Kluyveromyces lactis: one gene and its partner. The protein of the gene in region 1 purifies or fractionates together with the protein of each later gene. This does not show direct contact. Links are inferred from orthologs where the notes say so. Each region holds a gene or a part of one and is shown on either strand. Other genes may lie near its edges.

Region 1 (3,276 bases):
GTATTTAGTAAATGCAGACCAAACACCTTAGTGGAATTGTTTTGTTTGTGTTGGTTCTCAGGCAACAAAAGAGACACTAAAATGTCCATATAATCTTTTATAACTGCAAGTCCGTAGTCCGATTCTAAATTTTGACTTTCACTTGATGCTGTAAAATTGCCATTTTCAACGGAATCAATGTCACTGCTTCCTTCGGCACCTATGTTGTCATCTTTCAAAACGTTCTTCGAGAAGTCCTGATCGTTAATGAAGATGTGTTGTTTGCTTGAGTCTAACTTTTTCAACTTGTCAAATATCTTGACGGTAATCGATAGCATGCTCATTTCTGCTGCCTTTCTCAACACATCAGTTCTTCTTTTGTTACAAGCCAAGGACATGACAGTTTGTAACACATCGTACACACATGAGTCGGAAAGAATCTCACCTGAAGGAGAAGCAATAATTGATTCAATAAGAACCAATACCTTTAAAAGGACAGAATCATCGGATAAATGTTCAGTACCTTCAAATTTACAGTGGGTTAAAGAGTTGATCGTTTGTCTATAAGCTGCGACATGGTTTTTCGAAGATTCGTTAATAATACCAAAGGCGAAAAACTTTTGTAATGAGTCTAAGGCCAATGATGTAATATATCCTGACGTTGAAGCTGTGCTTATCACCAATAAGAAAGGTTGCAAGACAGTTAGCGCATCAACATCTTCTAAATTATCTTTATGATTTAACATCAATCTCAACTGAATTAACCCCGACAGTAGTGGATCCTTAGTCTTACTAGCTGCTAAATTATTGAAAGTACCTGCCAATGAAGCGTCCTGATTTATGAATATATCACTTCCCCCCCCTAACAAGGCTGCAACACCAGATTGCACCGAATATTTCGCGTACTTCCTCATAGAAGTCGACAAAGAAATACATTCCTTGATGACAATTGTGACCGGATCAACAGCCACATTATCACGAGTCATTTCTTGTCGATACATTTTTTGAAGTGGTTCAAGCTTAGTCAACCGTAGAACCCTAATCGCGATCAAAAGTCCTTCCTTTCTTCTCCTTCTCCTTCTCCCTCTTACTTACCTATCACACTGTTCCCAAAGTTTTGTTTGATTTCGAGGTCCCAATACCAGATCGCCTGAACTTTGATAAAAGTTTCTTACCCGGACAAAATGATCTACGAATTTGACATTACGAATGAACAGCTAGTTTAAGAACAGTGATGAGATGAGAACGAATACCTCATCCCATCAGTTAAAGCCTCCTTGTTCCAAAGCTAAGTTGCGCTTTATAGCTGTGGTCAAAGTAACAATAGAAAAAGATAAGGTAATAGGTCAAAAAGGATAACTGCTCCTCCTGTAAGATTGAATTCATTGTTGAAATGCACAAAGTATATCTTGATATTAAGATCGGCGATGAGCCAATAGGCCGAATCGTATGCGAACTGTTCGACGAACAAGCCCCTAAAACATGTGCTAACTTTATACATCTATGCAGAGGAGATGTCAATCTTAATGGTAAAGTGTTAAGCTATAAAAGAAATCACTTCCATAGAATCATTAAGAATTTTATGATTCAAGCTGGAGATTTGATGTTCGGTTCTGACGACAAGATTAACAAAGAAGAAGTTGGAAAAGGCGGTTGCTCAATTTATGCGACTGAATCTGAGTTGGAAAATTCATCTAGAAATGAAATTCAATGTTTTGGGAACTTTCCAGATGAAAATTTGGGTGAATTTACCGAAAGCTTCATATTGGCTATGGCCAACACTGGTTCACAGAATACCAACAGTTCTCAGTTCTTCATTACTACTTATCCATCTCCCCATCTAAACGGTAAACATTCTCAGTTTGGAAAAGTGATAGCAGGTAAATCTGTTGTTCGCACAATTGAGCATATGGATGTCGATGAAAATGGAGTACCAAATGATTCAATAATCATAGAAGATTGCGGTGAATGGTCTGATAATATGGAAATACCTCTTTATAATGCATGCAACGATACAATTGGTAATGATTTTTATGAAGAAAATCCAGATGATGACACCCACTTCGAAGGCGAAGATTTTGCCAAAGCATATGAAGCAGCAGAGACCATTAAAGAATCTGGTTCTCTGCTATTCAAGAAACGAGACTTTAGGAACGCTCTTTTCAAATACAAGAAGGCCTTGAAATATACTACTGCATATACTCCTGAAGTGGATATAGACAAGTTTCATAATGAGAAGTTCACTATCCAGAAACATAAACTATATTTGAACATCTGTCTGATGCTATTTTATTTGAAAGAGTATCATGAATCAATCAAATACTCTACCTTTTTAGTGGATGATGACCGTGTAGGAAACAAAGACAAGGCAAAGGCATACTTAAGAAGGGGCAATTGTCTTTATGCTTTGAATAGATTTGAAGCCGCTCTCACTGACTATAAGAACAGCGCAAAGACAGTTCCCGAGGATAAGAACGTCGAGCAGAAAATAGATATTACAGAGAAGAAAATCGCGAGCGATCTCGAAAGAAGGAAAAAAAGCATAGGTAAATTCTTTAACTGATTAGGGATGCTATTCATTCCTTTTACCTTTATATAAAATCATCTAATAAACTTCTAGGCTTCGCTGTCTTTTTGGGCTTTGAATTTTGTAAGTGTTGCTGCGGAACGAATGGTTTATTAGTACTTGCCTGATAATCATCCAATGGGGACTTTTGTTGTGTGGGAAGTTTCTTTTGTATCGTATCTTTTTGATTTTCCTTGAAACTGTCCAGCATATTCGGCACTTGAGATGGGGTCACTTTTTGAGTGTCACTTCTGTAAGAATCCAGAATGTTGAAACTAGAGCCTGCACTTTTACCTGAGTGTCCATTTGAAGAGTTTATATCCCTAGAAGTAGGGTTGAGAATACTTTTTGACTCACTCGTGGACGAGGATACAGATCGCGTATTTTCCGAGAATTGAGAGTCAAACTTATCAAAGAGACTTGGGCGTACCTTTTGTGTTGTGACCGGCTCTTCAATCTTGTTATCTGTCAACTTCGAGTGGGAACTTTGAGGGATTTCAACCTGTTCGGATTCAATCTTCTTACTTTCCAAAAACTTCCAATCCTTCAAAAGAGAAACAGCTATGTAATCACATCCCATGCGGGTGTATATAGTAGCAACGCGCATAATAATTTCATACTCTAAGCTTTCATTTACCTCTAATGCTGCGTTGTAATAATCGATATTTCGGTCTCTCAATTGCAAGTATAATTGTAAGAGAAGTGGATCTTCCACTAGAAACGACTTGTTG
Region 2 (3,372 bases), on another chromosome or scaffold:
TGGAATATATGAAATCAAGTGATTCCCAGCTTCCACCAGTTAGTCTTAATAGAGTCCTAGATCAAAAGTGGGAAAAACGCTACCCTTTCGACGCTGCTGGATCTGGGGCTGTGTATGACTCCGTGGTTCATGGGACCAAGGATAAACCCAAGGCATGTTTCGTATCATTGGTCCGGAATGAAGAACTATGGGATTTGGCTAAATCGATTTCATCTGTCGAAGATCGTTTCAACAATAAGTTTAATTATCCATGGATCTTCCTAAACGATGAACCATTTACCGAAGAGTTCAAAGAACGTATCTCTGCCATTGTTCCAAACTCTCAATTCGGTGTTATACCGAAGGAACACTGGTCATACCCAGATTATGTTTCTAAAGAACGTGCAGCTCAAACTAGAATTGACATGCAGGATATAATCTACGGTGCTTCCGAGAGTTATCGTCACATGTGTCGCTTTCAATCGGGGTTCTTTTTCCAACATCCATTATTAGCCGAGTTCGATTGGTACTGGCGTGTCGAACCAAGTACCGAATTGCTATGCTCCATCGATTATGATATCTTCCAACAGATGCAGGATAAAGACTTAGGTCTCGGATTCGTCATTTCTATCCATGAATTTGTCATCACAATCCCAACTTTATGGAACACTACTCGTGGGTTCGCAGAAAAACATTCAGAATACATCCATAACGACAATTTGTTGAAGTTCATATCCGATGATGGTGGTGATAGTTATAACTTGTGTCATTTCTGGTCGAATTTCGAAGTCGCCAACCTAAATTTCTACAGATCAAAAGCATACACGGACTATTTCGATTATCTTGATCGCTCAGGTGGATTCTTCTACGAACGCTGGGGTGATGCTCCCGTACATTCAATTGCTGCATCGCTTTTCTTGCCTCGCAACAAATTGCACTTTTTCCAAGATATTGGATATCATCACCCTCCATACAACAATTGTCCGTTCGACAGCGGAATTAGAGCCAAGGGTAAATGTTACTGTGACCCAAAAACCGATTTCACATTCAGGGATTACGCTTGTGGTATTCAATATTACGAGGCCCAAGGCATTGAAAAACCCTTTAATTGGAAAGATTATAGTGGCCGAGGCTATTGATATGGAATCTCACCTGGCCACCATCCACACTTATCATATTAATTCTCCCCTTCCCCCCATTCCCCACGATACTGATAGAACAATACAATTTGGGGCGCATACAGTTTTTTAAACTTTAGTACTCACTCTTATTTATTTGATTACTTGCCAGTATATAATCTGGTAATATTACCGGGTGTTGTAATGGACACCACCATTCACTAAATCACGTGGTTTGTTGATCTTTTTCTCGACTCGCCAAGAGAGCTTTGACACAGAATTTTACAAGTTCTAGGAAAAAAATCTCATCTCATCTCATCGAGCGGAAAGTGACTGTTCAAAAAAGCCAGTTACTCTGTCTCCACAGCTTCTGATAACGCACTTGGTATAGTCAAATTCCTGCCTGATTCACATCGTCAGAAATTTAACATTATCTGTATTATCTGAAGGGTTTAAAAGGAGGATATCTACTAAGGCCTGCTCACAATGGAAAAACCAAAGAGGTATGTTCCAGGTCCAAATGACCCACTTTTACCACCACAACTATCTGAGTTCCAAAATAAAACCACTGATGAGGTATTGGAGGAGTTAAATAAGATGCCATTTTTTATGAACAAACTTGACCCAGATGAAAGCAATGTAGAGTTGGAAGCCTTAAAAGCCATGGCCTATGAAGGTGAGCCCCATGAAATTGCAACTAATTTCAAGAATCAAGGGAACGATCTTTACAAGGGTAAGAGGTTTAAGGATGCAAGGGCTATGTATTTGAAAGCTTTGGATGTTAAATGTGATGTACTATCTATCAATGAATCTTTGTATTTGAATTTGGCTGCTTGCGAGCTTGAAATTAAAAACTATAGAAGTTGTATCAATTACTGTAGGGAGGCACTCAAACTAAATGCAAAAAACGTTAAGGCATTTTTCAGAATAGGTAAGGCTTATCTCGAATTGGGAAGGTTCGAAGATTCTCTCGAGGCCGTTCAAGTTGGGCTTGCCGTGGATCCTGAAAATGGGGCATTAAAATCCATCCAGTCCAAAGCTACTGAAAAGCTTAAACGTAAAAAGGAGCTGGAGAATCGTACTTTAGCTCAAAAACAGAAGGAAAAGGAACTCCAAGAGTTTTTGGATCTGGCAGTACAAATAAGAAACATAACGCTAGTTGATACCAAACAACCAGCAGGTCTTTTGAAAGATACTAAACTCACATTGGAAAACCCAACAGATTTCGAATCACAATTAATATTTCCAGCTATGGTTCTTTATCCGACTACGGACGAGTTTGACTTTATCGCGTCTGTTTCTGAACTATCCACACCAAATGACCTTCTTGATGTTGTACTTAACAGACCGGCAGAATGGTTTGCACAACCAGGGCACAAAGATTTTACTGCATCTAAACTTCATGCATACATGGAAACTCTGTCTGGAGGCTTGATCAAGATTGGTAAAAAAGTTACCTTCCATGATGTTTTGAAGATGGAGAAGCCTAAGGCTCCTCTTTTCGATAAGTCTCTAAGAGTATACTTTGTACCAAAAACGGAGGCACAAGGATGGCTAGATAACTGGGATAAGAATGCAGCAATAATGAAACGATTGTAGATATTACAGACACTAGATATTGCATTATATAGACACGTCACTATGAATTAAGGTAATTTACCTTTTCTTAAGTTTTTGTAGTCTTGAAGTGCTAGTTTGAAAGATCTCATCGATATGTAGCGGTGGAATGGGGCCTAATATTTGCTCTATATCCCAATTTTGTTGCAACAACAATTGTTGCTTTAGTTTTTCTGGCTCAGCCCACGAAGTCAGTGTCCGCTCTACTTGGTTATTACCTTCATCATCAGAAATGATTTCAGGTAAAGTAACATCGTTGGAAGTTCTTTCCGTTTTTGGTGGTGCGCCGATATATTCCCTATAATCAACTGTATTGATATCATGTAACATGGAATTTGTACTGGCAGATTTAGAGAGTGGCGGTAATGTTGCGTTGTTACGATCTAAAAGAATCTTTGTTCTTCTTTTAGTATCCTCATCTGCCTGAGAAATCCTCCTCTGTTGGAGTTCATACTTTTTCCGCATTTGTTGCTCTTGCTGGTTACGCATCACTTCACTCAACCGCTTATTCAATTTTTGCTTTAGCGTGTCTTTCTCTTGTTTGTTGCTTGAACTGCCAGTAATTAGCTGGAATCTGGTCAATCTATCGTGCGAATTGGTTCTTTGATCAGATGATGTAGGAGAGATAGACGTTGATTTATGAGTGGATAACTGTGGT

What was found.
Region 2: the proteins of CPR7 (region 1) and CNS1 purify together in Saccharomyces cerevisiae (affinity purification with western blotting; 3 studies listed by BioGRID, with this or other methods). This does not show direct contact. The link is inferred for Kluyveromyces lactis from reciprocal best matches to the Saccharomyces cerevisiae genes CPR7 and CNS1.

Annotation. Positions count from the first base shown.
Region 1 is NC_006041.1:2,026,495-2,029,770, reverse strand, and holds CPR7 (peptidylprolyl isomerase CPR7), read left to right. Parts: upstream 1-1,372; coding exon 1,373-2,542; downstream 2,543-3,276. Other genes in the region: KLLA0_E22727g (uncharacterized protein), read right to left, coding at 1-980; RAV1 (Rav1p), read right to left, coding at 2,571-3,276. UniProt on the Saccharomyces cerevisiae protein: PPIases accelerate the folding of proteins. It catalyzes the cis-trans isomerization of proline imidic peptide bonds in oligopeptides. Plays a major role in negative regulation of the heat shock transcription factor (HSF).
Region 2 is NC_006038.1:872,084-875,455, reverse strand, and holds CNS1 (HSP70/90 family co-chaperone CNS1), read left to right. Parts: upstream 1-1,583; coding exon 1,584-2,696; downstream 2,697-3,372. Other genes in the region: KLLA0_B09988g (glycosyltransferase family 15 protein), read left to right, coding at 1-1,118; SLI15 (Sli15p), read right to left, coding at 2,754-3,372. UniProt on the Saccharomyces cerevisiae protein: Co-chaperone that binds to the molecular chaperones Hsp90 (HSC82 and HSP82) and Hsp70 (SSA1). Stimulates SSA1 ATPase activity, but not Hsp90 ATPase activity. Involved in only a subset of Hsp90 functions.